4 linked regions of the Elephas maximus indicus genome follow. The protein of the gene in region 1 interacts with the protein of each later gene in a pairwise test. Links are inferred from orthologs where the notes say so. Each region holds a gene or a part of one and is shown on either strand. Other genes may lie near its edges.

What was found.
Region 2: the proteins of MAP2K3 (region 1) and FGFR4 come close enough for resonance energy transfer, tested with the Homo sapiens proteins (2 studies listed by BioGRID). The link is inferred for Elephas maximus indicus from reciprocal best matches to the Homo sapiens genes MAP2K3 and FGFR4.
Region 3: the proteins of MAP2K3 (region 1) and PDGFRA come close enough for resonance energy transfer, tested with the Homo sapiens proteins (2 studies listed by BioGRID). The link is inferred for Elephas maximus indicus from reciprocal best matches to the Homo sapiens genes MAP2K3 and PDGFRA.
Region 4: the proteins of MAP2K3 (region 1) and ARNT come close enough for resonance energy transfer, tested with the Homo sapiens proteins (2 studies listed by BioGRID). The link is inferred for Elephas maximus indicus from reciprocal best matches to the Homo sapiens genes MAP2K3 and ARNT.

Annotation. Positions count from the first base shown.
Region 1 is NC_064820.1:216,261,544-216,269,017, forward strand, and holds the start of MAP2K3 (dual specificity mitogen-activated protein kinase kinase 3), read right to left. Parts: upstream 3,001-7,474; 5' UTR 2,828-3,000; coding exon 2,779-2,827; intron 1-2,778. UniProt on the Homo sapiens protein: Dual specificity kinase. Is activated by cytokines and environmental stress in vivo. Catalyzes the concomitant phosphorylation of a threonine and a tyrosine residue in the MAP kinase p38.
Region 2 is NC_064820.1:197,382,656-197,390,133, forward strand, and holds the start of FGFR4 (fibroblast growth factor receptor 4), read left to right. Parts: upstream 1-4,470; 5' UTR 4,471-4,743; coding exon 4,744-5,332; intron 5,333-5,421; coding exon 5,422-5,502; intron 5,503-5,616; coding exon 5,617-5,783; intron 5,784-6,346; coding exon 6,347-6,470; intron 6,471-6,998; coding exon 6,999-7,189; intron 7,190-7,319; coding exon 7,320-7,458; intron 7,459-7,478. UniProt on the Homo sapiens protein: Tyrosine-protein kinase that acts as a cell-surface receptor for fibroblast growth factors and plays a role in the regulation of cell proliferation, differentiation and migration, and in regulation of lipid metabolism, bile acid biosynthesis, glucose uptake, vitamin D metabolism and phosphate homeostasis.
Region 3 is NC_064823.1:107,360,398-107,367,773, forward strand, and holds the start of PDGFRA (platelet-derived growth factor receptor alpha), read right to left. Parts: upstream 3,007-7,376; 5' UTR 2,823-3,006; intron 2,349-2,822; coding exon of another isoform or gene 2,205-2,348; intron 1,750-2,204; exon of another isoform or gene 1,666-1,749; intron 149-1,665; exon of another isoform or gene 1-148. Other genes in the region: uncharacterized protein LOC126076748, read left to right, coding at 2,205-2,348, 5,232-5,603. UniProt on the Homo sapiens protein: Tyrosine-protein kinase that acts as a cell-surface receptor for PDGFA, PDGFB and PDGFC and plays an essential role in the regulation of embryonic development, cell proliferation, survival and chemotaxis.
Region 4 is NC_064821.1:184,929,058-184,936,160, forward strand, and holds the start of ARNT (aryl hydrocarbon receptor nuclear translocator), read right to left. Parts: upstream 3,008-7,103; 5' UTR 2,897-3,007; coding exon 2,824-2,896; intron 1-2,823. UniProt on the Homo sapiens protein: Required for activity of the AHR. Upon ligand binding, AHR translocates into the nucleus, where it heterodimerizes with ARNT and induces transcription by binding to xenobiotic response elements (XRE).

The sequences.
Region 1 (7,474 bases):
CCGTGCTATGAAACGTGCCCCTGCACACTGTCCCGAGAGCCACCAGCCAGAAAGACAGCAATATGTGGGCAAGGAGGTCGGGGGACCTTCTGCATTCATGGAAAACCCTCCACCAGCAGGGCGCCGAGAGAATCTCAGTACAGGGAGGGTGAAACGGAAGCTCAAAGGTAAAGCTCTTTCAAGGTCAAATGCCAACCCCTCCCTGTTCTGTTCCAGCTCTTCTGAGAAAACTGAGAAGAGCTCAGTGCTAGGGGCCCTGTGCCCAGGATGTGAAGGGTACTGGGTCAGGACCCCAACCTTGTGGATTCAGTCCAGCATCTCCTACGTCTGGCCTCAGTTGTGTCATCTGTCAAATGAGTCAGACTGCAGTGAGTGTGCCATGTGCCAACTGTAAAGGGCTGTGCATGCATGCAAAGGCAAGGCCTCTGCCTCACTCTGTGCTCCACGTCTGGGACTGGCCAGGAGGAGATGCCCCCTGACACAGGGCTCAAGCATCCAGCATGAGAATGGGGTGTGGGGGCAAATGGGGGAGACCACACAGCAGACACACAGTCCTGGCTAGAATCCTGGCTCCAACCATCCTGGCTTGGGGACCTCAGGCAAGGCACTTAATGCCTCCAAACCTCAGTGTCCTTATCTGTAAAATGAGGTCGCAGGCTGAGAAGCATAAATGAGAGGGTGCATGGCACATGGAAAAGAGAAGGGGCACAACATCCTGTGCCAACCCCAAAAAGGCTGATGGGGGAGGCCCCTGACCTTCTGCCCAACCCTCCCACATCGCCTGTTCCCTGTATCCACAGATAGACCAACACCCTAGCCTCCCTGCAGAGGCCCAGAGAGGGCAGCGTCAGCCTCAAGTTACCCAGCAGGGTCCCTCCCCACCGGCCTTTGCCCATCACCCATGCCCCCTCTCCCTTCACAGCCCTGTAATTCTAACTTCTATTTTGATGAGGCACCCCTGCCTTGAATAGCTGAAAGTGCCTCCAAACACACATTGCTTCCGATAAGTTCCTCCAACCCAGGAGCGCACAGGCTAGCAAAACTCAGTGTGCCATGACAAAGCCAGCCCAGACCACGCTCCTGAGTGGGGAGTGTCCTGCTGACCGGCTCCCAAGCTCCATGAGGTCTGTGCAGAGCGTGCCCCTCCCCTGCCACCTCCCCCAGTGAGTGCCTCCCAAGTTACTCACCGCAGTTGGGCAATGGTCAGGGATCCAGCCTCCCACTTATGTAAGACATAATTACTCTGCCCACCCAGCTGGGCTCTGGCCCACAGCCATGGAAGCCACCAGCAGCAGGGCCAGGCAGGGCCACACCCGCCCCCGGACCCCACACAGCCTCCCACAGCCCGGGCCCCTCCAGCACTGATTAGGATACCACTAACTGCTCCTGTGACCTGCTTCACCCCACAGTTGCAATTCAAACAGAGGTACGTCCTTGACCCTGCATGGCTGAGGCCTTTCTAAAAATAAAAACTGCAACAATAGAAATACGCACAGCCCTGTCCCTTCCTGAGCACCTACTATGTGCTGGGCACTGCACTGAGCTCTTCACAACATTTTCCACCTCTTTACACGCACTGTCATATGTATATATCACCTCTCATCACAGCACCCGTGCCCCCTGCCACGTCTGTGGAAGGAAGGTGTGATTACCCTGGTTTTGACTGAGGCCCAGAGGCACTAAAAGGCCTGCTGGGGGAGGTGGCCCATTCATCACAACTATGTCCGGTTTGGAAATCTCTCACACGGCCCAGTCTGCTGAGATTCTGACACACCAAAACATCCTTTCCTCTTCCTGCAAAAAAATCCCCTTTTTGCCCTCCAGGCCCGTCCTCCCCCCTCTGCATGACAAATCCCGCCTGGCCGCCACCTCACAAAAATTTCCAGGAAGGCCTGCGACTTGGAAAAGACAGAGCAAGCCCCTTTCGAGGTAAGCACCCTGGTCTGGCAGCTGGCCCAGGACCCACGGGCCGCCAGGCGAAACAGGCCTGGCAGCAACCAGCCTGGTGCCTGGCAGTGAAGCCATGGGTCCAGTGTGGAGCCGGGCACATGAGGGTACAATAGGAGCAAGGAGAGGAAGGGCCGAACGTCAGAGGGGGTGGGGGCCTCAGAGTGGCCACAGATTAACGAGGAACCTAGAGTGGTTCCGGAACCAGCGTTGCAGGGTGGGGGGTGTAGGGCAGGGTGCAGAAGCATCTGGGGAGAAGCCCGGTGCAGCCAGCGAGGATGGGGCAATGTGGGGGCCCACAGGGACAGAGCCAGCCAGTGAAGGGGCCGTTCTGAGCTGAGGTGTAGCCAGCGTACCCGCCTGGGGTGGGGATGCAGCAAGGTCCCAGCAGGGGAACTCACTGAGGTCCAGATGGAGGGATCAAAGTTAAATACCAACCTGGACACAGCCAAGGGATCAGGTGGGAGCAGAGTGCGGCCCACCTGGGTCCCGCTAAGGACCCCGGCCTGGGAGTCCCCTGGTCAGGATGCAGCCCTAAGGCCCACTCTGCGGGTCAGAGAGAGTTCCCGATTCCCGACAGGAGAGGGGGTCAGAGTGCGGTCCCAGCCTCTGTCAGCCCCGGGAGCTCCCAGGCCTGCGTGCAGCCCCAAGGTCCACACTGGGGGTCAGAAGAGGTCCAGCCCAGCGTCGGATCCGGGACTGGACAGACTTGAGAACCTGAGGCGCTGTCGAGTTCCGGATGGGTGGGCCCCCAAGGAGGCCAGGGTTGCAGGCAGGCCCGGGCCCGGCCTGGGGGCGGGAATCCGACCGCGGGTCCCGGCTGGCTCCTACCTTTGGACTGGGGCGCGCTGGGGGGCTGGCTCGAGGCGGGCGACTCCATGGTGCAGGCGGGCCGGCGGCGCGGCGATGAGGCCTACTCGAGGGGGTGGCGGGCTCGGTCGGGGCCGCACGGACTCATGGCTGCGGGCGGGCGGGCAGGCGGCCCGGGCGCGACGGGGCAAACGGGCGGCGGTGGGAGGACGCGACCGCGGCGGGCGGCGCCGTAGCCAGACTGGGCAGAGCCTCAGGGGCCGAGCTAGACGGCGCCGAGACGCAGGCCCCGCCCCACGCGCCGTTTGGCCCTCCGTCTCCAGGCCGCGCTCCGCAGCCTATCAGACTCCAGGTTCGCCCCTGCCCGTCAAGCACAAGACCTCGCCCCCCCATTTGTTCAGCTGCAGACCCCGCCCACTGCCTGTCAAGCCCGCCCACCACCCGGGAAACGGGGCCGAGCCAGGCTCCGCCCCCTTCTTTCTAAAGCCGGGCCCCTGCCGTTGCTTGTCAAGAACCAAGCACCGCTCACTTCCCGCCGGGAACCTCCGAGCCCCGGCCTCAGGCTGTTCGGCATTAGGCCCTGCCTGGCGCGCTGATTGGCCACCAGTTTCCAAGGCGCGTCTCGGGACCCGTCAGACGCCAGGCCCCGCCCCGTCTATCAAGCAAGAGGCCTAGACCTCCGTTCACCCGGAATCAGGCCCCGCCCACTGCCTTTCAAGCCCGCCCTCCGCCCGGGAAACTAGGCCCCAGCCAGGCTCTGCTTTACTGGGTCCAGAGCCGGGACCCTCCCGCTCCCTGTCAAGAGCCAAGCCCCGCCCACCTCCCGGGAACCTGTCAGCCCGCGTGCAGCGCCCCCTCCCCAGCCTACCCAAGCGCGCCAGGTGCAGGGGCGCGACCTGGGGTGTGTTGTCTGGGAAAACCCTGAGATCTCGGAGCGCGGCCGGCCAACCCGGCCGGGGCCCAGCGCGGCGGCAGACAGGGTGTTGTGGAGAGGCTAAAGCGCGCCCCGATGAAACCTGTTTTACGTCCTGACTGCACCTTTCCAGCGGGGATTACCTGGGGTGACTCAGGCGATAACCCTGAGCCTCCGTTTCTCTCTCTGTAAAACAGTGCGACAGCAGCCCGTGCCACGGAGCTTTGCTCGCGAGGACGGAACAGGCGTCCGCAGGCGCTCAGGACGCATTTGTTTAGTGAATAGGAAGGGCTGCACGCGTCCACACACATGCACTCTCCTCCAGCCGGTATCAACGTGGGGTGTAGGGGTGCGGGGGGAGCGACACCGCGCTGGCTAAGAGGCAAGGAAAGTAGCTTTAACGGTTGCTGTCGTTACTACCCGACCCCTCTCCCGTTCTACACATGGGGAAACTGAGTATAAGGGAGTCGAGTGGCACCTCTCAATTCATTTTACTCAGTTCAGGGGCCCCGGTGGTCCAGTGGTCAAAGTTCTTAGCTGCTAACTGAAAGGTCATTGGTTCAAAGCCACCAACCCCTCCACAGGAGAAAGATGTGGCAGTCTGCTTCCGTAAAGATTTACAGCCTTGGAAACCTAATGGGGCAGTTCTACTCTGTTCTGTAGGGTCGGTATGAGCAGGAATCTACTCGAAAGCAATGGGTTTGGTTTTTTGGTTTGGGTTACTCAGTTCAGTAGGCCGTGACCAAGCTCTTATCCAGGCTTGCACTTTGGCCTGGTCCTCTCCCCTCCCCTCTTGGGGCCCTATCTGCTCATCTATAATGGCTGGTTGGATCTTCTCCCTTCTGCTCCCACTTGGAGCCTCAGGGGATTTCAGGCCCCACCAACCAAGCTGGCACTGGCATCCAGTGCCCAGAATGAAAAGCCACAGGCTAGAGAGGCAGGAAGGCCCTGCAGAAGTTAAAGGAGTCAGTCATTGCCCTGGGCAGGCATGGGTGTGGGCTTGCCTGATGGGGGTCTCCTGTGACTCCAGCAGACAGGTCTGCTGAAAACACTTGGAGCAGGGGGCTGACCTCTGCTTGCCCTTCTGTAAAACAGAGGCGACCCCACAGGGCCCCACCCACACCAGTGGGGAGGGCCAGATGAGATAAGGAAGGATGTGAAGCAGCCTTATAATTATCATTATTCTCTTCCTGCATCTCTGGCTCACTGTCTTAGTTATCTACTGATGCTATAACAAAAATACCTCAAATGGACGGTTTTAACAAACAGAATTTTGTTCTCTCAAAGTCTAGGGGGATAGAAGCCTGAATTCAAGGCCCAGGCTCCCGGGGAAGACTTTCTCTCTCCGCGGGTTCTGGGGGAAGGTCCTTGTCATCACTCTTCCCTGGTCTAGGAGATTCTCAGCCCAAGGACCCCAGGTCCAAAGGACATGTTCTGCTCCATCGCTTCTTTCTTGGTGGCAGGAGGTCCCTCTCTTCTTTGCTCACTTTTCTTTTATATCTCAAAAGAGATCAACTCAAGATACAACCTTCAATTGAGGCCTGCCTCATTAACATAACTGCCTCTAATCCTGCCTCATTAATATCACAGAGGTAGGATTTACAACACATTACATCAGATCACAAAATGGTGGACAGCCACACAATACTAGGAATCATGGCTAGCAAATCGACAGACATTCTGGGGGGACACGATTTAACCCATAACATACGCTTTCCAGGCAATGGGATGGAAAATTTTGATCTTTGGACTCAGGCACAGGTTCAATTCCCAACTCCAGATGTTGGACAAGTCACTGAACAGCTCCACACCTCAGCTTACTTACCTGTCCCACAGGGACAGTAAGATCTCCCTGAAGTCATGCTTGAAAGTGTCTGGCACAGGGCCTGGCACACACTAACTGCCCAGGAAAGGTAAGCTCAAGGACACACTGTGAGCCACCTCCTACAGGAAGCCATCCAGGCTGTTCCACTCTGGGTGCTCAGGGAAGAAAGAGGCCTGGAGCATTCTATTTCAAATGGGCCACTTGAGCTAGTCATTTCACCTCAAGAACATACCAATACAGATTCTGGCTCAGGGCCTTTGCTTGCTGTCCCCTCTGCCTGGTGCATCTTTCCCCCATGATTCCCTCAGTTCTCCCCAGCAGCCTCCCCAGTCATGGCCTGACATCATTGTTTGTTCTCTGCCCAGCACCCACCCTGCCAATGCCAGTCTTCTTCACTGTTTTTTAATCTGGCTCACTCCCTTACAGCATCCGCCTCTCCTGAGCAAAAATGTTGCCCACCCCACTCCCTGCTGCATTCCTGAGCCATAGCCCAGGGTGGCACATAGTGGGTGCCTCATAAGTATTTGAGAAATGAGCAAAGCAAGAAAGGAAAGAATACCACAGCCATCCATGGAGTGACTCCAGTCCAATGCAGGCCTCCCGGGCACCCAAGGAGTTTATGGATTAGTCAGGGAGCCTGACAAACAGCCTAAGAATCACAAAACCTGATGTGGGATGCTATAAATAGACACATGAGCATGAGGCCAAGGAAGGTGCCAGAACTCTACCTGGAGTGAGGTCAGAGAGGGCTTCTCAGAGGAGGTGACTTTAAGACTGAACTCTTAATGGCCAAACAGGAGTTCACCAGGCAGAGAAGCAAGAAAGCAAGGCTGGGAGGAGCAGTAGAGGCAAAGGCTAGGGGTATGACTGGGCTACACGTGGGGCCAAAACATGGTGAGGGCCAGACTGGCATGCAAATCTGAGTTGGGTGGAGGGGGAGGCACCCCACTGCAGAAACCACAGACCTTCTTATTCTCTTGCTGGCTGGTTGTAGCAATATCTGTGGACCTCCTCTGCCTCTTCATGGTCCAGTCAGGCTGGGGCACCTCATGACCCCTTAGAACCAGAAGGGACATTTGACATGGGCCACCACCACAAGCCTCTTACCCTGACTCCCAAAAGAAAAGTTCTAAGTACTCCTCTCTGGCGAGACAGGGACACTGAAGCTCAGAATGGGATGGGGTGTGAGCTGAGGTAGGCAGGACCTGGGAATCAAGGAAGGAGAAAGAATGGTTCAGACCCACCGTCATGGATTGAATTGTGTCCCTCAAAAATATCTGTCAACTTTGTTAGGCCATGATTCCCAGTATTGTGTGATTGTCCACCATTTTGTCGTTTGATGAAATTTTCCTATATGTTGCAAATCCTATCACTATGATGGATTAGCGGCAGTTATATTGATGATATCTACAAGATTAGATAGTGTTTTAAGCCAATCTCTTTTGAGATATAAGAGACAGAGGCAAGCAGAGGGACAGAGGGACCACATACCACCAAGAAAGCAGTGCTAGGAGCAGAGCCTGTCCTTTGGACCTGAGGTTCCCACGTGGAGAAGCTCCTAGACCAAGGGAAGATTGATGACACGGACTTTTCTCCAGACTCAAAAGAGAGAGAAAACTTTCCCCTGGAGCTGGCACCCTGAATTTGGACTTGTAGCTACTAGGCTGTGAGAGAATAAATATCTCTTTGTTAAAGCCATCCACTTGTGGTATTTCTGTGACAGCAGCACTAGATGACTAAGACATCCAGGATTGGGTAGTTCGTTCACTCATTCAACAACTCGTTATAGAGAATTTACTGTGTACCTGGCAGGGAGGGCACAGTATTGAACAAGACAGACACAGCTCCTTGCTCTTGGGGAGGGGACACAAGGTGGATGTTATGGATTGAATTAAAAAATGTCCCCCAAAAATGTGCATCGACTTGCATAGGCCATGATTCCCAGTATTGTGTGATTATCCACCATTTTGTTATCTGAT
Region 2 (7,478 bases), about 19 Mb from region 1:
TGGGATGAGGAGAACCATGAAAGCTGTTCTTGAAAAATAGCCAGTTATTTTCTGGTTTACATTGGGAGCTCTGGTGGCACAGTGGTTAAGCGCTAGGCTGCTAACCGAAAAAAACCGAAAGTTTTGTTCAAACCCACCTTTTTGCTCTGCGGGAGAGAAATGCGGCAGTCTGGAAGCCCTGGCCAGCAATTCTACTCATCTTGTAGGATAGCTATGAGCAACAGGTTTGGCTTGGGTTTATCTTTGGGAGGGGACCATTCTTTTGTTTGAGAACGGGAAAAAACAAATTGCTTTAATTATTTTGATTTTGCAAAGGTAAAACTGCCATTCCATTGAGAATGAGGGTGGAAAGAGCTATACTCCTCTGCATAATAATGGGGAAGGAAGCCGCTTCTGGAAGGTTATCCACAGGGATAACCAGAGGGGGTCCGAGACCCAGGCTTAAGGATTTCCTTTCTTCTCAAGGAGACTTCAGAGATGCAGAGGACTTGGGCTTCAGGTGAGGGTGGATGGAGGTCAAAGGTCGGCCAGTCTCCTACTCTGGCCACTGTCTAGCAACTCAGGGGAAAAGGGCTTGCAGGTGAGGTGGGAACTGAGCCAGGTGGGGACAGAACTATTGGGGGGGTAGGCTTGAGGTGAGCCACTGGGGAACCTACTGTGTGCCAGGCACTTGAGATAAAATGGTGAGGTCTGCAGGCACAGTTCCTGCCTTTCAGGAACTTCAACATCATTCACCTATTTACACAATTAATCTTTTAGTTACAATTCTGGCAAGTGTAGTGAAGACAACAGGCCCTGAATAATCACAACTAACATTGCAAAGCAAGCGCTCTGTGCCAGGTAGTGTTCTAAAGGTTTTACACACTGACACGTCTACTCTTTGCACCAATCTCTTGATCTTGGTACTATCCTTATACCCATTTTACTGAGGAGAAAATGAAGGCACACAGATGGAGTAACCTGCCAAAGTCGTGAGTGCTGGTGCTGAGATTTGAGCCCACATGCCTAGCCCCACAGTCTGTACTCTGGGCCACTTCACTCCTGCTTCTCCAAGTTCACAGGAGAGAAGGCATCTAAAGAGAAGCTGGCAAGCCCAGGGGGCTTCCCTGAGAAGGTGCTGTTTGAGCTAAGACCTAAAGATGAGATGGATCTAACCAAGAGGAGGAAGGACACTGCAGGAAGAGGGAACCGCAGTTGCAAAGGTCCAGGGGTAGGGTGAGAACGAAGAAGAAGTGAATGAAGCCTTCATATGGAGACGGGGCCAAGTCAGGGGAATCTTTATATAAAGAGCTATGGGAAGCCATTGGAATTTTAGAGAAAGTGGTTGATGTACTTGAATTTTAAATATTATTTTGAAAGTTGTGCAGAGAACGAATTGGAGGGGGTGGAAGAAATCGCCTATCCGCTTCACAGCAACTGCGCAGAAGACAAAGAGGTCAGGCTGGGCCAAGATCTGCAGAAGGCAGCCGGCCCCGACTGTGGGGTCTTATTCCCTGAGGGCTGAAGAGCAGGGGGTATTGCGGGGTAAGGGACTAGAACTGGGAAGCCTGGCCAGGGGCGAAAGAGGCGGAGTCTGAAGGGACGTGCAGTAGGTCTTGGCGGCCCGGGAGTGGGCTGACCCGGTAGACCGCACAGCTGCCGTCGAGTTCGGGCGCGGGGCCCTGGTGGGCGGGGCGCTCGGCTGCCAGAATTAGGAGGCGGGGCGCTGGCGGTCCGGCGGCCACGCCACTGTCAGGATAGAGCTGTTGCAGGTGGGGCAGATCCCTGGGGGCGGGGCCCTGGGGGCGGGGCTCTGGGCCGCCCGCGGCCACGCCGCTGTCGCGGGTGCATTCCTGGCTCTTCGGCCCGGGGCAGAGAAGCGCCCGGGCTGAGTCTGCGGGCTTCGCCGGGCGTGGGGTCAGGCTGGCCGGAGCCGGGAGCGGAACCGCGGAGACGTCAGGTGAGCCACGACCCTGTGCCAGGAGCGGGACCCCGGAGGCTCGAGGTGAGCGGGGACCCTGTGCAGGTCCAGGCTGCGCTCCCAGCCGCCAGGGGGCGAGCGGCGGCAGGGCCCCGGGGGCTGCCCCTTCCCAGCTCCGCGGACATGGGCGTCCGGTCGGCGGGGGGTGGAGGGGGCAGTAAATCAGTAACCCGCAGCGTACACAGGGCCTTTTGTCCCGCTCCGTCCAAAGAGCACCCTGGCCATGGAGCTGGTTACTCATTGCCCACCCGGGCGAGGGCAGGGGCGAGGGCGAGGGTGAGCCTGCCATCACGGGACCCACCAACCCGCCCCTCCCCCCAAGGTGGCCCTGGAGGACCATCTGCGCTCCCGGTTTAGGGATGAGAAAGCTGAAGTTCTGAGAGATGCAGTTACTTGCCCAGGGTCCCCAAGCGCGTGAGTGCAGGAGGAAGGAGGAAAACCCGAGTATGCATGATGCCAGAGGTGGGCCCTTGGCCCCTTGTGCCAGCTGCCACCTCTGGTCTGGGAGGGCGGTCACAGGCCATGAGTGAGTCCCACTGAGGGCTCTGCGGTCAGGACAGCTTCGGGGTGGAAATAAAACCTCCGGGGCCTCCCTACCCCACTCCCAACCTAAGCTGTGGACCCAGGGAGCTGCCATCCATGCAGAGCAGAGTGGGGTGAAGGGCTTTGATAGAGAAGGCATTAGTGAGCCTGGGGGGACGGTGGCACAGAGGCAGTGGCATCGGAGCCAGGTGGAGAAGGGCAGAGGTATGGGCTGATGACTTTAGTGGTTCTCAAAGTGGCAGAAGGTGAGGCCAACAAGATTGGCATGAGCAAAAAAGGAGGCCTAGGATGCTGGATAAACAGTGTGGGCTTGATCCTGCAAGCCACAGGTAGCCATTAAGGGCTTGTAAGCTGAGGGGTGACATGCCAGACTTGAATTTTTGAAAGTCCTGCTGGAAGGTGGAGGCTGAAGAGCTCAGGGAGATGTTGCAAGGGTCCAAGCAAGAGATGACCATGACCTGGCCTGGGTCGGAGCAGAGGAGGTGGGATGGACTGGAGGGAGGTTGAGGAGAACATCTAGGATGTGGGGTGTGGTGGACAGGGTTGATGCCTGGGCTGCTGACTCTGTGAGGACAACCCAGGGAAGGCTCAGTCTGAAGGGGAAGATTATGTCTTTGGCCAGAACAGATTGAGTGTCCCCCATCCCAGTCCCAGAGCTGGATGAGGAGCAGTGGCTGAGGAGAGAGGGTGCAATGGGCTTCCTGGGCAAGATAGATCCAGAGATACCAGTGCACTTGGCTGTTACCCAGCCCCAGGTAACAGCCACTAGGCCTCTGGGGCTACAATGGTCACCCTATTCCCCTGACCTAGCTGAGGCTCTGTTCTGAGTATTCCTTTTGGGGTACAGAGATATCCTGGGTGCAGGAGGGTAACCTGGATGAGGAAAGTGTGTATATCACTCTTGACAAACAGCACCAGAAACGGAGATGACTGGCTGAAGGCAGACCCAGGGTAACAGGTGAACAGTCACCTATATGGACTGGAGGGAAGCAGGAAGAGAATATTCCAACATACGATGTCCCCAGTCTCTACATACATTGTCTCTTTTATCCTCAAAGCAACTTACATAAGAAAGTGGTCCAAAGAGGGACAGGGACTTGCAAATTTGTAAGAGTCAGGATTTGAACATGGCTGTGTCTGACATTACAGTCTACATTCTTTATAAAACCCTGTGTTGCCTTAGATGGAGTTGTGAGGGGACAGGAAGCAGAGGTATCCCCAGGATGCAACTCTGGTTCAGAATAAGAATTTGATCCTTGGCATGGGGTGTGCTGTCTTGTTAGTAGTGAGTGCCCTGCCACTGGAGGCATCCAGAGCCAGTCATGGAAATGTCAGCAATGCTCTAAGGACTGCGGGTCAGATCAGACAACTTCCAAATGCTGAAGTTTTGCCTTGTATTATATTTCAGATTTTTTTGGCTCTTCAGCAAAAAATTTATTTATTCAGCAAAAAGTAAATTATGTGCGATGAAAGCGAGCAGAAGATGTGTCTCCATTCTCTACTTCCCTCCAAGCAAAGAATCCCAAAACTGTTCTTTCTGTGAGCTTGTGCCAGGGTCCCAGCAGGACCCGAGATGAGCAGGAAGCCCAGCCCCACCATCCACACAACCTGCTGTGGGGAGGCCTTGGGCTCTAGCAACATCAGAGCTGGCTCCATTCTCTGCCCTGTTGTGGCCTGGCTGGGGGCCTAGACAAGTCTGCTGACCATTTCCTGTCTCAGTTTCCTCATCAGCAGAGTGGGCATGTGTCACAGGTGGGTGTGTATCAAGAGCTCCTCTCCCTCCCTGTTTCAGGAAAGCAGTCGGTGTGAAGCCCAGCCCGGGTCTGAGTGAGCAGCAGGAAGGAGATGTGGCTACTGTTGGCCCTGTTGGGAGTCCTCTTGGGGGTGCCCAGGGCCCCAGCCTTGTCCCTTGAGGCCTCTGAGGAAATGGAGCTGGGTATGGCCCTGAGGGGGGAAAGGGTGGCAGGGGTGGGAAGAGTGGGCACAAGGAGGGGACTGCTGGCTGAGCAAGGCTGGAGAGGATCCTGGCTCAGGCCCTGAGGGGATGGTGGCAGGGCAGGCCCAGCCATTGAGACTCAGTGTCTGGCTCCCAGCAAGCACCTACCTATCTCTGTGTCCGAGAGCAAGGAGGGCCCTGTGGGGCGGAGGGCCCTGAGCTGGGCTGCAGAGCTGGTGGTGAGCCCCTTGGCTGTGTGTGTGTGAGTGTGTGTGTGCTGTGCACTGAGTGTTGGCATGGGAGCATGTGCAGTGTATACAGTATGAGTGTGATGTACTCCAGAGGCGTGCCCTGTGTGTGGCACCTACAGCATGTGCCATGTGTGTCTTGGGCAGTGTCATGTCCAGCATGTATGGACGTGCAGTACATGTGTGATGTGCCCCTGAGGTATGGCATTTGCCCTGTGCGTAGTACCTGTGGCATGTGGCTGCGTGTGTGTCGAGGAACAGTGGCGTGTCCAGCATGTGACACGAGATGCTTGTGCCCTTTGTGTGCAGCATGTTCTCTGTGTGCAGGGGAAGGGCCCAGTGGGCCTGCGGGGCTCACTGATTTCTGCCCTCGGCCCACAGAGCCCTGCCTGGCTCCCAGCCCAGAGCAGCAGGAGCAGGAGCTGACCATGGCCCTAGGGCAGCCTGTACGGCTCTGCTGTGGGCGGGCTGAGCGTGGTGGCCACTGGTATAAGGAGGGCAGCCGCCTTGCACCAGCCGGCCGGGTACGGGGCTGGAGGGGCCGCTTGGAGATTGCCAGCTTCCTGCCCGAGGATGCTGGCCGCTACCTCTGCCTGGCACGAGGCTCCATGCTTGTCCTGCACAATCTCACCTTGGCTGTGGCTGGTAAGAAGGTCTGGCAGGGAGCGAAGGACTACCTGAGGAGAGAGATGCCCCACCTGGACCTCAGATGCCACCCTCTATCACTGATGCAGACTCCTTGACCTCCAGCAGTGATGATGAGGACCCCAAGGCCCACAGGAGCCCCTCAAATGGGCACGTTTATCCCCAGCAAGGTCAGTATGAGTCCTCGAGGACTTTTCTCACTACTGGAGAAGAGACCTGTGTCGGAGCAGGTGGTCATCCTGGGGCACTAAGCTCTCCCTCCCTTCCTCACCCCTCCCTTCCAGCACCCTACTGGACACACCCCCAGCGCATGGAGAAGAAGCTGCATGCGGTGCCTGCAGGGAACACCGTCAAATTCCGCTGCCCGGCTGCCGGCAACCCCACACCGACCATCCGCTGGCTCAAGGACGGACAGGACTTCCATGGGGAGCATCGCATCGGAGGTATTCGGGTGAGTCTCCAGGTTCCAAGACCATCTGCTCACTCATTTTCATTCCTTCATCTGTCCCCTCATACCTGTAAATCAAACCCACAGATTCTTCTCTAATGAGGAAGGCAACTGCCTGACCCCAGGATGAGCCAAAAACTCTGGACTTGGATGGTTCTGGTTCAAGTTCCCAACTCTGCCACTCGCTGGCAAGTGATTCCGTTCATAAACTGGAAAGAGTCACTGACTGATGGGTCTAATCAGCTTTATTAGCTCTCATTCTCATAACAAAACCCCACAGGGCCACTCCGCTCAATAGTGAGAAAACTGAGATTCAAAGAGGTTAAAGACAGGCTCAAGGTTTGCACAGCTGGGGTGAAGCAGAGCTAAAACTCAAAAGATTCAAACCTAGAGCTCCGGCAGTTCTCAGAGCCTTCTCCTCTGTCCAGGGTCCCTGGCCTTGGCCTGGCCTCTCCAGGGCTTGCAGAGCTTGAGATGAGCCCTTTAGGCAGGATCTATCCTTCCTGTGCCCTGGCCCCGGTGGTGCGTGGGCTGTGGCCCCTCGTGGACACTTCCCCTACCCCCAGCTGCGCCACCAGCACTGGAGTCTGGTGATGGAGAGTGTTGTGCCCTCAGACCGTGGCACATACACCTGCCTCGTGGAGAACTCTGTGGGCAGCATCCGCTACAGCTATCTGCTGGACGTGCTGGGTGAGCGGACTGGCAGGGGAGGTGGGGTGGTGGGGCCTTGACCTGTCTTGGGCCCAGTCCTGTCCTTGGATAGGGCCTGGCCTAGCAGGCAAGATGGGCTTGATCTTAGATGATTAAAGCAGCTCAAAGTGACCAGGTGGGTCAGATGGAAGCACAGGGGCAGTGCGGGCTTAGAGAAACAGGGATCTGTGGGGCGGAAAAGTAGGGAAGGCAGCCCAGCAGAGGGCAGAGGCTGAGTAAAGGCCCCTAGGTGTAAAGACCACAAAGCATCTGGGTGGAGGTACGTGCCAGGGGTGTGGCATTTAAGTGAGGAGCCAGACCAGGGAGGGTTTCGAATGCTAGGCTGACAAGTTGGGCTTTATCCCAAGGGCACTGGAGAGCCATAGAGGGTTTAAGCAGGGGGTGGACAAGGTCTGAGCTGCATGTCAGAAAGGTCCCTCCTTCGAGCCAGGGGGTGCCTGGAGGCAGTGAACAGGGTGCCTCTGTGGGTGCCACTGGTCAGGGTTGACGGCCCGGCCTGGCCCCCAGAGCGGTCCCCGCACCGGCCCATCCTGCAGGCAGGGCTCCCAGCCAACACCACAGCCGTGGCAGGCAGCGACGTGGAGCTGCTGTGTAAGGTGTACAGTGACGCCCAGCCCCACATCCAGTGGCTGAAGCACATCGTCATCAATGGCAGCAGCTTCGGTGCCGACGGCTTCCCCTATGTGCAAGTCTTGAAGGTGCGGCCCTTGCTAGTGCCTGAACCCTAACCCGGCCCCCATCCTGGGACAGCCTCCAGCTTCCCTCCTACCCTTGCCACGGGTGGCCCCAGGCCCTACTGTGCCCCCTGAGTATGTCCCCCGCCCCCAGACAGCAGACATCAATAGCTCAGAGGTGGAGGTCCTGTACCTGCGGAACGTGTCCGCCGAGGATGCGGGCGAGTACACCTGCCTGGCAGGCAACTCCATCGGTCTCTCCTATCAGTCAGCCTGGCTCACGGTGCTGCCAGGTGAGCACCCAAGGGGGCCA
Region 3 (7,376 bases), on another chromosome or scaffold:
AATCGTTTCCCACCAGTGATATGTAACCAGGTCGCAGCTCCCAGGAGGCCGGAGGGAGTCCCGCCCGCTAGGGTCTGCAGGAAGGCTCTGGTCACCACGTCCCCAGGACGCGTCCGGGCGCGGCGCGCCGCCCACGTCCCGTCCCCAGGAGGCGCAAAACCGCCCGCCTCGGCGCCAGACGCGTTTGCAGCTGGAAAGCCCGGCCCTATGTCCCTCCCCCTGCACCCCTCCTCAGCCCGCGCCTTGGGAGGAAAGCGTCCCCGGGCCGTGAGCCAGGAGCCCCGGTTCTGCACCGGGTCCCTATCAGCTTAAGAGCTGGCGAAGAGACCGAGGCACTGGGGGTCAGCGGCAGGCGCATTCTCCGCGACCGATTGCCATCTTCCTCCCCGCCCCCTCACCTCCCCGCCCCCCCCCAGCCTAAAATCTAGCTGCACTTAGGTCAAGCCAAGAACAGGACTGTGCAAAGCCTACAAGCAGCGACTGAACAGGGAGTCAAAGTGAGGCTAGTCTGCTCCCCGCTACCCCCAATTCCACCATTTCTCGCCTGTCGAAGAAGCCAGGAAGGGCTCCTCACCGAAAGGATTGTGGAATGGAGGCCGAGGGGAGAGGAAGGGGGAGGGGACTCAATGCAACAGCACCAGGGTACAAGTCGGTTAAGTGGGAAAGGGTGTAAAGACAAGACCCCACGCAGCAGCGGGTGAGGTGTGCGCGCCGGGGTGCCCCTTCCTCCCCTCCGACGGACCCGGGTCTCGCTAGGCTAGGGTGTTGGTCCGCGCGCTGTGCGGCTGAGGACTGTTGTGCTCCATTTGCCCTAGATGCCTCCACTACTCCAAAAAGCTGCCTAGTTCTGGTAGGGAGCGACCGCAGTGAAGCGAGTCGGTCCAAAACGTTGAGCAATTCGGCCACGAAGCCAAAAAAGCTATTTCCCATCCCGCCCAGCCCAGGACTTTTCCAAGGGACTGGGCCCGGCGCGGAGCGACCTGGACTTGATAGAGGCCATCCACGGTCTCTCCCTAGCCCCGTTTGCCTCCCACCCTTGGAGAAGAAGTAAGTGCCAAGTTCTCCCAGGCACTCTTTCTGCCAATCCTTAAGTGTTGCCGGGGTTGGGGGCGCGAAGTGTGGGACGCGCGTTCTGGCTGCGGGAGAGAGGGACAATGGACGAACACAGCACTTTCTTCCCAGCCAAGACTCAGAACCACGCCAACCGGCAGCTTCTGCACACCTAGCTGGGCCTCTCGGGCTCCTGACTGCCTCGGGCAGCCGGAAGAGAGTCGGGTCACGCTTCCTATTTCGCTCCGAGGTGGCCAAGACACTTTCCGCACAGAGCCGCTGAGCCCAGTTGTTTCGGAGCCAAGTGGACGCCGCCCGCTCCCCTGGCGCTGCAGGAGAAGTTAATCTCACACGTAAAAGTCAACTTCCAAGGGGATAGACGGCGGAGAAAGGAGGGGCGCGAGGCTCCGATGCAGGCGGGGACGCAAGCGCAAAGAGGGGACTAAGAAAGAAGGGCACTTGAAGAGTATGAAGCAGCGCAGGGCGCGCGCAGGCGGCAAGTGCCACGCAACCGGCGCGGAGAGGAGCACAGAGGGCTGGGGGGGGGGGCGCTCCAGGACTCCGGTGCCCCGAGGGAAGGAGAGAAAATGGTCGCCTCCCACCTTTCTGTCTTACCTGGAAACAAGTTTTTCCGTTTCGAGACGTCCCTAACTTCCTTCCCCACAAGAAATCCAGCACTTTTTGGAGACCTCCCTCTGCTTCCTGAGGCCGGGACTGGCCAGCAGCAAAGCCCAAGGCTTTGCAGAATCGGTTCCAAAGGAGGAGGGGAGCGTGCAGGGACGGGTGGGGGCGGGAGACCACCGCGCACAACAAGAGCCTCTAGGAGCGCAACTCTAAATTCCTCAAATCCCAGTTGCTGGAATGCGAGGCGACGACGACTTCTTCACTCGAGGCCAAATGTGTTTGTCATTACTCCAGACCGCAAGTCCGCGCCGCCGCCGCTGCCGCCCCCGCAACCCAAGCGCACTGCGGGGCTGGCGCCCTCTCTCCCTCTCACCTCTTTGACCCGGCAAATGGCTGGGAAGCGCCCCAAACCCTCGCCCAAGCCCGCGCCCCCTCTGCTCGTCTTGCAGCCGCCGCAGCTGTGCTGAGACTGGACCCGACTGTCTCTGGGCGCAGCGCCGTCCAGTAATTACGCGCGCTCGGCCGGCGCCATGTGCACCCGGCCGGCATCCCAGGTCCGCCCTCCTCCAGCTGAGCCCTTCACGCCTCTCCGGCCCCCGAAGCCCCTTCCCGGCGTCTCGCTCGGCCTCTTCGCTCCCTTCGTTTCCCAGCCGCGCTCCACAGCGCGGGTTCCAGTGCTGTCCCGCCAAACCGCGGGGGAGGAATGAAAATATTCATTTAAAAAATCTGTCGCCCTCCAGGACCCATTGCCAAGAAGAGGGCAAAACACCTCTGCCCTCACCCCCAGGGTGATTTGGTGCTCGTCCTAGTATCCACGAAAACCACCCCTACCCCCCAAAAGAAACCTCAAAAATGTAAGCCTAAACAATTTCTCTGAGAGGCCGTAGGGTTGTTGGAAAAACACTGCTTTTAAAAATAGGTCTGGAAAATGTGTTTTTTTAATCCCCAGACTTTCTAACTCTATGGTTATCTTCTCCCCAAGTAAGGTTTATTCAGAATAAATTATTCTCTAGACACATAACTGGAATTCAACTCCTTTTTTTTCCTCTCAACGCACAAAGTTCGAGAGAAGTTACTTCACTTCTTCCAGCCCACAGTCTGATCAAGGGCTTCCCTTAGAAATAAAAATCATTTTTCTTCTCTCTTACCTTCTCCTCCTATGTCAATCCGCAATGAAAATCCTACACATGGAGTAAAAAGTGTGTCCACGGTCTCCAGTCCTCTCCTGCAGTTCCCTCCTGTTTTCTCTCCCTCTAGCTCCAACTGTAATAGGCTCAAAAACCGCGTTTTGTAATTGATTCAATGTTATAGTCTATCCTTCTAAAACTAATCATTTGCTCTAAGTAAATAGCTGTCAGAAAATGAAGCCCCCCCCCCCCTTGGCCTCTTCAAAATAAAAGTTTCCCTCGAACTCTAGGCACTCTGACTGTCCCAGCCTCCACACTGCGCCTTCGCTTTTGCTCTTACACAGTCAGGGGATCCAGCCCCAACCCCCCAGACTTCAACAACAACTGGGGGGCGGGGAGAAGCCGACCAGATGGGGTGGGGGTGGTGGATAGGGGAGGTGTTGATGCTCTGCAGGGAGAGAGGTTTCGTGAAAATACAAACTGACCATCATTTCCAGAATGAGTTTGCCTCCCGAATTGGGGGATGTTAACCTCCGCTGCTCTACTGTTTTGTATTCTCTTGAAAAAGAACACATAAAAATGCAGTTAATGGCCAGAAAGAATATAAATCTGGAATCTAGAAATGTCCCTTCTGGTGAAACTCCTGGTGCAACTAGAGATGGAGTCTCCAAGCGGTTGCGTCGTTTTGAACCTGGTATCTTTTGGGAAAAGTGCGGTGTCCTTGCTAATCCTTTAATGGGATTAGGCAAACTCTATAGTCCCATATGACGATGATGGTTTGTTAAAAGACTGGGTCTGAAAGGGGTTAGAAAGAATCGAGGGTCTGTGTGAATTTGGATATCTCTCTGGCAGAAAGACCTTTACTCCCATGGAGCCACTTATCTTGTCATGCCTTTGTTTTCGGGGTTATCTGGGCGAGGTGACCCAGTCTTCTTTCTCGAATACAAAAAGGCACACGCTTGGACATTTGGGGATCGTCTACAACAAGCCTGCCTTCTCTGCGTCCTGGGGGTGGGTGCGTTTTGACCCCACCGGTGCCCCCTTACCTTAGTAGGTCAGACCCTACGAAAGCCCTAGGGTTGAGAGCGGAGCCCCAAATCCTGCGCCTAAGGCGCTAGGCAAGAGACTGAGACGGGAGAGAACCATCCTGCTCGCGAGGGAAAGGGGGCGCTGACGCTCCAGGAACCAGGCTTAGGCTGAGCGGGGCTTCCGAGCGAGCGCGGGGGAGGGGAGAGCTTTCACCTCCCTGCTTTCTCTAATTTTGAATTCTTTTGTTGGGAGAGTAGGGGTGATCTTTATACCCCTCTTCCCCCATCAACACGCACACCCTCAGAGTTGCTGGAGCAGCCCGGATGAGGATGGCAATTTGGACAGCTGTCACCTCTTCCCTAACCCGGAGGGTGGGCACAAGGCAGTGGGCAGGGAGGGTGCTGAGTTTAACAGGACCAGACTTTTGGGGTGTCGGGCTAGGAAGGAGGGCGCCTGGGGCTGGGCTGGGGGCCCCATTCCCCCGGCCCTTCTGCACGCCCGCCTCTCGTGCATCTTCAGCTCGGGTGACTGCACGGGCCCGCTATTACTTCCACATGTTCCTTCAGGAAATCATTGAAGGCAAATATATGAACAGCCCCTTGTTCGGAATGCTAACAGGATACCGTAATGTTTGTAGATAATGAACAGAGACTAACGAACCCCCAAAACAAATGCAGAAAGCAGAACAAAGGAAAAAAGTGGGGTGGCTTTCATGCTGTTATTGAAGACAAGTTGAGACCCAGGTTTTTATTCCAGGTGCTCAAGAGGGCAGGAGGTGAGGCCGGGAGTCTACCCAGGAGGGTCTGCTTTGCAGCCGGGAAACTGCCAGCGGGATCGGCCGGGGTCTCCTGCAAGCCGGGCCCCAGCGCTCCCCGCCCACAAATAGTAACTTCACAGTTCATTTCAGAGACGCTTAAAGGAGCCCGAAAAGCAGGCTAGGCGGGCGGGGCAGGGGGGTGTTCTTCGGGCCGTAACTCTTCGCCTTTAGAGCCCAGAGAATGGATGAGCCAGCGAGCACCCAGTTGTCCTTCTGGTAGTAATTACCTGCCTAATTTGAATGATGCCTTTGTTATGATCATTAACAAACATTTGCTAAAGGCTTCCATGTGTGACATTCTCGACGGTTTAAAGGCCTGGGGAGCTGGCTCCGGGGATAGCGCGCCGGTGGGGGGTGGCGCAGGGAAGCAAATGGTTGGGGGCAGATTTCGCCTAGTCGGGACCAAGCAAAGACAGAGAGGTCAACATCTGCCTCCCCTGCAAAAGCAAAATAAACCCAGTGGTCAGGAGCAACCTCGGGGCAGGAGGCCCTGGAACAGAGGCTGTTCGTTCCAGAAACCCCGTCCTGCCCGGCAATCCCGCTCCCCCGCCCCTCCCACTGCTAATAGGCGGGTTTGAATGTAGTGTCCGCCCTACGCGCCTGGTCCGCGGCTTCGCGAGAGGTCAGGTCTGCGTCGATCGCTCAGCGGTGGTGTCAAGGAAGATGGGCAAGCCGAGCGGCCCTCTTTCCGTGTTGCTCTAAAATCCTTCCAGATTACTGCCCCGACGCCCGTGAGCAGAAACCTGCAAGAAGCCGCGCAGGCGAGGCGGGCTACGGAGGCGGGCCATTGCCCCGAGGGAGGGAGGGGTGAGGAACTCTGGCCTGGGCTGCTGGCAAAGGTCGCGGCCTGCACCCAGATTTTCTCATGCTTTTTCTCCTTGCGAGAGCATCAAGGCGTTAAGAATGAGGGTTTTCTCCGAAAACTGGGAGTTCGGCTACAGCGACCGGAGGAGAAGGTGGTTCAACTCCCGAGCTGAGCAGAGGGAAATTTGGGAAAGCGGTGGGGTTCGGGGCGCAGCGGTTCTGACTTTGGCCTCCCATGGCTAGGCCCGCAGGCCACACGAAATCGATTGCAAAGGTAGGAAGAGGAGACTTAGTAGCTGAGCCAGCCTTCAAAACGAGAGCCCTGAAAACTTTTTAACAAACAAATGAAAATGATCACTGAAAACAGAAACCTCTCCCTGCCTTGCCTCCCGGGCTCGCAGGTCCAATTCCTAGGAGCGTCCCACCTTTGGCTTTCGTGGGCGTTTCCCGCAGAGTTGGCTTTTTGTCTGCTCTCCTCTGCTCCGACACCCCCCCCAGCTCCGCCCCCAATTCTCCTTTCCTCGGAGATTCCAGAAGGTTTTTTTGTTTTAGAAGACCTGTGATTGTTGTTGTTAGGTGCCCTCCAGTCAATTCTGACTTATAACAACCCCATGTGACAAAGTAGAACTGCCCCATAGGGTTTTGTAGGCTGTAATCCTGAAGCACCAGTCCTACTGGGGAACAGATCGCCTGGTCTTTCTCCCTCAGAGCCGCTGGGTGGGCCAAACACCGACCTTTCGGTTAGGAGTCCAGCGCTTAAACTTGCCACCAGGGCTTCTTTATCAAAATCCTTGTTGTGAAATTGACGTTTAAACAGACTTGCAATTTTTTTTTTTTTTAAGAGTTAATAGGGGCGGGGTAGGTTTCTGGCTTCGCCATTTGAAAATAAAAAGCAGTTTGGTGGTTTGCAAAAGAAAACGGCACTAACTACCCCTCCCTCCCCCATTCAACTCTTGACTGCGCGTGAGGAGCCACTTCCCTGGGCCCTGCGAAGGGACCTTGGCCAAGAAGGCTCTGAGGAGCTTGTGGATGTGGAGCACAGATGTGAGGGTCCCCAGGGGAAGTGGGAAGGAGCTCCGCCCTTGCCTGGGGCCTGCCTCAGCTAAGGCTCCAAAGCTTGCTCTGTACCGCTTTGCACGCTCAGAATTCAGAGAGGCCCAAGTCATGGAGAAGGAGGAAGAAAACCTCTCCAGAAGGGTTCAGGCTGGTGGGTAATTTGGAACAGCAGTTAGCCTCTCTCTGGGACCCCTCACACACCTCCACTCCTCCTTGTCTGCTGACTGGATCTAAAGGCACAGCGCCACTTCAGGGTCCCTTGAACCCCATCCCCTCTGCAGAGAGAAGTAGTAGAAAGCAGTTTCCAGTGAAGAGAATCATGACCAGCAGCACCCTCACTGAGGGGTTCCTAGCACCATAGCGTGCTAACTGACCTAACTAAGGACCCAAGCTGTTAACTGTGTTTTATGATTCAGCCCAGCAAGGGGGCCATAGGCTACTCACGAGCCCGGGAAAGATGTGGCTGGACTGGCCCTCCACTGGATCTGGATTTCTTTGATACCTTTTCCTGGCCTCCTCAGTCTGGCGATATTTTTGTGCCTCCTACTTCCCTCTCTCCTCAGGACTTAGTTTTCAGTTGCTTTTAATTTGAAAACTCATGTGAGGGATGGGGGAGGGAATGAGGAGATGGGGAGGTCTGCTCTTTATTAGGGGCCTCAGCCAGCCAGCTTTCCAACACACAGCTGTGGCCAGGAGGTGATGGAGGCTGGCTCTTGGTTAGGTCATCCTGACTGAAGAAAGGGCCTTGTCCTCTGGAAGTCCCAGGAGGACAGCAGGGCCCTGTGATTAAAAAAAAAAAAAAAAGTCCTCAAGTAGAAAGGCGTTGGGAAATATAAAGCTAGTAGAATTTGGGTCCCACAATTCCATAA
Region 4 (7,103 bases), on another chromosome or scaffold:
CATCTCCACTCCAGACAGGAGATGCCAACATAGTCTCATACGTCTACTTCATCCAAGAAGCTCACTCTTCACCAGTGTCATTTTCGATCCCATTGTCCAGTCCAATCCCTGTCTGAAGAGTTGGCTTTGGGAATGGCTCCCGTTGTGAGCTAACAGAAGGTCTGGGGACCATGACCTCCGGGGTCCTTCTAGTCTCACAGTCAGACCATTAAGTCTGGTCTTTTTATGAGAATTTGAGGTCTGCACCCCACTGCTCTCCTGCTCGCTCAGGGGTTCTCTGTTATGTTCCCTGTCAGAGCAGTCATTACCTGTGTTTTGACTATGCAAAAGCATCCAACTGTATGGATTGTAACAAATTATGGATAATATCGCAAAGAATAGAAATTCCAAAACACTTAATTGTACTCATGAGGAACCTGTACATAGGCTAGGAGGCAGTCATTCGAACAGAACAAGGGAATACTGCATGGTTTAAAATTAGAAAAGGTGTGTGTCAGGGTTGTATCCTTTCACCATACTTATTCAATCTGTATACTGAGCAAATAATCCCACAAAATAGACTGTATGAAGAACGCACCATCAGGACTGGTGGAAGACACGTTAACAACCTGCAACATGCAGATGACACAACCTTGCTTGCTGAAAGTGAACAGTACTTGAAGCACTTACTGATGAAGATCAAAGACTACAGCCTTCAGTATGGCTCAACATAAAGAAAACAAAAATCCTCACTACTGGATCAATAAGTAACATTATGATAAACAGGGAAAAGGCTGAAGCTGTCAAAGATTTTATTTTCCTTGGATCCAAAATCAACACCCATGGAAGCAACAGTGAAGCAATCAAATGAGACATTGCACTGGACAAATTTGCTGCAAAAGACCTCTTTAAAGTGTTGAAAAGCAAATATGTCACTTTGAGGACTAAGGTGCACCTGACTCAAGCCACGGTATTTTCAATCACCTCATATGCATGCAAAAGCTGGACAATGAATAAGGAAGACTGAAAAAAAGAACTGATGCCTTTTAATTATAGTATCTGACAAAGAATATTGAATATACCACGGACGGCCAGAAGAATGTACGAATCGGTGTTGCAAGAAGTACAGCCAGAACGCTCCTTCTAAACAAGTATGGCGAGGCTTCATCTAAAGTACTTTGGATGTGTTATCAGAAGGGACCAGTCTCTGGAGGAGGACATCATGTTTGGTAAAGTAGAGGGTCAGTGAAAAACAGGAAGACTCTCAACAAGATGGACTGACACAGTGGCTGCAACAATAGGCTCAAACACAACAAAATTGTGAGAATGATGCAGAACCAGGCAATGTTTCGTTCTGTTGTACAAAGGGTCCCTGTGAGTCGGAACTAACTCGACAGCACCTAACAAGAGCTCTAAATATTTTTCTTCCAAATGGGTAGCTAATTATTTCAACATCATTTGCTGAACATCCTTTCCTCACTTATCTGAAGTTTTTCTTTTGTTATACCATAAATTTCTATAGATTTTTTACTGTCTTTTTAGACTTTCATTCCGTACTAATATATTTTCCCGTTCATATACCAGCACTGAACACTTTCGATTATAGCAACTTTATAGTACATTTTCATTATCTAATAGGAAAAAGCCCTCCGTTGTCCATTAATTTATTTTTCAAAACTTTCCTATTAATGTCATACACTGACTTCTGCTCCTAGGATGATGGGAGTAGACATATGTTTCCCTATTCCTCCCAATAAGTACAACTCAAAATCCTGGACATTATATATAAAAGAAACATAAGACGACTTTTAAAGGTGGGAAGAATGCAGGCCAGCTAGGGATCTCACTACTCAAAGAATGGCACGGTAGTGAGTTCCCCTGGGTTTTTTCTTTGCCTCGTATGTCCTAGACTTGAAGCTGAAGAAACCGACAACCTGGAAATACCCATGGGGTACAGACAAAAACAAAAGCCTGCTCTCTACAGTCAACGGACCAGGAAAAGGGGCAGTCTAGCAGAAGAGAAAGTTCTTAGGTAGTAACCACTCAATTTCAGTCAAATCCCACGCAAAAAAACTGTGGTCCTACTTCTACCCATGCCAGCAAAGGCTGAGTAGGGAGCCTACACTTCCACCCTAACAAGGAAGTAATAACATACCCCAATACTTTCCGCAGGATGATGTCAGAGAAAGCCAAGTAGGGACCCAGAATTTTCATCCCCACTGGTTGGAAATGAAGGCCCACCTCCCACAATGTCGAAGGAGATCACATGGAGAACCTGGATTTCTACCCCCACCCAGTAGTCATGAAGTACTGCGCATCCCCCAACCCTCCACTGGGTGGTGTCAGATGAAGCACAGTGGAGAGTCAGAATTTCACACTGCCCAGTGGTGACGAAACCATTCCCATCATGATGTCAGTGGAGACAGTATGAGGAGCAGGAACGCACATCCCCACCCAGGAGTGACAAGAAGCCCCCTCCCCAAATCAACAGAGGCCACAGGCTTCTACCTCCAAGTAGCAGTAATGTGGCTACACTCCCTTCTTTCCCTGCCAAAGTGATGTCAGCGAAAGCCAGCTAAAATTGTTGTTGTTGTTGTTAGGTGCCGTCGAGTCGGTTACAACTCATACCGACCATATGCACAACATAACGAAACACTGCCCAGTCCTGCGCCATCCTCACAATTGTTACTATGCTTGAGCCCATTGCTGCAGCTTCTGTGTCAATCCATCCGGTTGAGGGTCTTCCTCTCTTTCGCTGACCTTCTATTTTACCAACCACATGTCCTTCTCCAGGGACTGATTCCTCTGGATAATATGTCCAAAGTATATAAGACATAGTCTTACCATCCTTACTTCTAAGAAGCATTCTGGCTGCACTTCTTCCAAGACAGACTTGTCCATTCTCTTGGCAGTCCATAGAAGGTTGAAATAAGATCCAGTGTTGCGTAACAGGTTTCAATCAAACATTACTCATCAGACCAACAACCTGGAAAATCTCAAACTGAATGAAAAATGACAATCAATACATGCCAACACCGAGATAACACAGATGTTAAGATAATCTGACAAAGATTTTAAAAAGAGCCATGATAAAAATGCTTCCACGAGCAATTGCAAAATAACATAAAACAAATGAAAAAATAGAAAGTCTCAGCAAAGAAACAGATGATATAAAGAAGCAAATGGAAATTTTAGAACTGAAAAACACAATAGCTGAAATAGAAAGCACAAGGCCTTAACAGCAGAATGAAAGGAACAAAGAAGAGAAATCAGTGAAACAGAAGATAGGACAACAGAAATTACACAATCTGAAGAGAAAGAAAGCGCACTGAAAAAAAAATTGAACAGAGCCTCAGTGATGAGTGGGGCTTTAACAAAAGTTTCATGTTATTGGAGTCCTGGAAGGAGAGGAGAAAGTAGAGAATGAAGAATATCTCTGAAAATTTCCCAAACTTGATAAAACAAAAACCTACAGGTTGAAGAAGTTGAGCAAATCCAAAAAAGGATAAACCCAAAGAAATCCGTGCCAACATACATCATAATTAAACTTCTCAAAACCAAAGACAAAAAAAATCTTGAAAGTAGCCAGACAATACCTTAAATGATATCTTACCTACAGGGAAAAAACAATTCTAAGGACAGGATTTTTCATCAAAAACCATGTAGGCCAAAAGAAGTGGCACAGTATTTTTCAAGTTCTGAAACAAAAACTGCCAACACAGAATGGTATATGCAATGAAAATATCATTCAGGAATGAAGGGGAAATCAAGACATTCTCAGATGAAGGGAAACTAAGAAGGGAATTTGTCCCCAGCAGACCTATATCCTAACAGAATGGCCAAAATAGTTTCTCTAAATAGAAAGGAAATGATAAAAGAAGGACTTAGTAGTATCAGGAATTAAAAAAGACATAGTAAGCAAAACTATGGGTAAAATCACACTTTGGTGAGAGGCGTCTGGGGTCTTAAATGCTAGCAAGCGGCCATCTAAGATGCATCAATTAGTCTCAACCTACCTGGAGCAAAGGAGAATGAAGAACACCAAAGACATGGTAAGTATGAGCCCAAGAGACAGAAAGGGCCACATAAACCAGAGATTCCATCAGCCTGAGACCGGAAGAACTAGATGATAATGCCTGGCTACCACCTATCACTGCCCTAACAGGGAACACATCAGAGAGTCCCTGATGGAGCAGGAGAAGAGTGGGATGCAGATCTCAAATTCTCATAAAAAGACCAGGCTTAATGGTCTGACTGAGACTGGAGGGACCCTGACAGTCATGGTCCCCGGACCCTTTGTTAGCTCAAAATTGGAACCATTCCCGAAGCCAACTCTCCACACAGGGATTGGACTGGACTATAAGACAGACAATGATACTGGTGAGAAGTGAGTTTCTTGGCTCAAGTAGACACATGAGAATATGTGGGCAATTCCTGTCTAGTGGCGAGATGAGAAAGAAGAGGGGGACAGGAGCTTGTTGAATGGACACGGGGAATACAGGGTGGAAAGCAGGAATGTGCTAATTAGCGGGAGAGCAGCTAGGAGTACCTAGCAAGGTGTGTATAACTTTTTGTATGAGAAACTGGCTTGATTTGTAAACTTCTACCTAAAGCATAAAAATAAATTTTTTTTTAAAAAGGAAAAAACATGGGTAAAATCAATAGGCTTTTCTTCTCGAGTTTTCTAAATTAAATTTGATGGTTGAAAAATATTAACTTTGAGGAAATATTTAAGACAACTATAAACAGGAGGGTAAAGGGTCCTAAAGGGAGGTAGGGCTTCTATACCTCACACAAACTGGTAAAATCACCACACAGTAGACTGTGAAAAGCTATGTATATATAATGTAATACCTACAGTAACCACTAGAAAAGGTATACAAAGAGATTCACTGAAAATCACAATATATGAACCAAAACTGAATTCTTAAAAAAAAAAAAAAGTTCAAGTAACCCACAGGAAGATGGGAAAAATAAAAGAGGAACAGAAAACAAAAATAAAATGGCAAACTTGAGTCCTAACATATCAATAATTATATTAAACGTACATTATCTAAATACACCAATTAGAAGACATAGACTGGCAGAGTGGATTAAAAAATATGACCCAACTTAGGCTGCCTACAAGAAATTCACTTTAAGTATAATGGTAGAGACAAGCTGAAAGCAAAAGGATGAAAAAGGATATATGAAGCAAATAATCAAAGGAAAGCAGGAATGGCTATATTAATAATAATCAGAGAAAGTAGACTTCAAAAAAAGCAAAGTACTACAGACAGAGTGGGACATTGTATAGTAACAAAAGTCAATCCACCAGCAATCCCAAATCCTCAACAACCCAAACCCATACCATCAAGTTGATTTCAACTCTTAGTGACCCTTTAGGACGGAGTAGAACTGCCCCACAGGATTTCCAAGGGTGTATATCTTCACAGAAGCCGACTGCCACATTTCTCCCTCGGAGCGGCTAGTGGGTTCAAACTGCTAACTTTCAGTTAGCAGCCAAGCACTTTAATAACTGTACCACCAGGGCTCCTCAAATTCTAAACAGCAGAGCTTCAAAATATGTGAAACTAAAACCGAAGGACCTGAAAAGAGACAAAACCACAATTATGGTTGGAGACTTTCAATAACCTTCTCTCAACAACTGATAGAACAACTAGAAATAAAGTCTACAAAGATACAGAATTCAACAGCACCATCAATCAACAAGTTCTAACTGACATTTATAGGAACACTCCACTCAGCTCATTCTTTTCAGGTGTACACAGAACTTACACTATACCCTGGGCAGTAAAATATCAAGAGAACTGAGTGTGTTCTCCAACCAAAAAGGAATCAAACTAGAAATCAAAACAGAAAAATCACAGAAATATCTCCAAACACTTGGGAACTAAACAGCATACTTCTAAATAACCAGTAGGCCAAAAGGGAAGTCTCAAAGAAATAAAAAAAATACACAAACCACCAATATCGGGAATGAAACAGGGATATTGTTACAGACCGTGAACACACAAAAAGGAATAATGGAACACACCCGTTGCCATCAAGTCAATTCCAATTCATAACAATCCCATAGGACAGAGAAGAACTGCCCCATAGGGTTTCCAAGGAGCTGCTGGTAGATTCAAACTGGTGACTTTTTGGTTAGAAGCTGACCTCTCAACCACTGTACCATCAAGGCTCCAATAAGAGAATACTAAGAACAATTTACACGTGTAAATTTGACAATTTATACAAAATAGATCACTTTAAAAAAACCGCAACTGAACCACTGTGCAATAGATATTTTGAATAGCCCTGTAACCACAAGTGTACCTCATTTTATTGCACTTTGCTTTTTTTTAATTATTCTGCTTTAAGTGAAAGTTTACAAATCAAGTCTATATGAAGAAGAACGGGGCATCAGGATTGGAGGAAGACTCATTAACAACCTGCGTTATGCAGATGACACAGCCTTGCTTGCTGAAAGTGAAGAGGACTTGAAGCACTTACTAATGAGGATCAAAGACCACAGCCTTCAGTATGGATTGCACCTCAACATAAAGAAAACAAAAATCCTCACAACTGGACCAATGAGCAACATCATGATAAACGGAGAAGAGACTGAAGTTGTCAAGGATTTCATTTTACTTGGATCCACAATCCACAGCCATGGAACAGCAGTCAAGAAATCAAAAGATGCATTGCATTGGGTAAATATGCTGCAAGGGACCTCTTTAAAGTGTTAAAAGCAATGATGTCACTTTGAAGACTAAGGTGCACCTGACCCAAGCCATGGTATTTCCAATCGCATCATATGCATGTGAAAGCTGGACAATGAATAAGGAAGACCGAAGAAGAGTTGACACCTTTAAATTGTGGTGTTGGCGAAGAATATTGAATATACCATGGACTGCCAAAAGAACGAACAAATCTGTCTTAGAAGAAGTACAGCCAAAATGCTCCTTAGAGGCAAGGATGGCGAGACTGCATCTTACATACTTTGGACATATTGTCAGGAGGGATCAGTCCCTGGAGAAGGACATCATGCTTTGGAGAGTACAGGGCCAGAGGAAACGAGGAAGACCCTCAACGAGGTGGACTGACACAGTGGCTGCAACAAGGAGCTCAAGCATAACAAC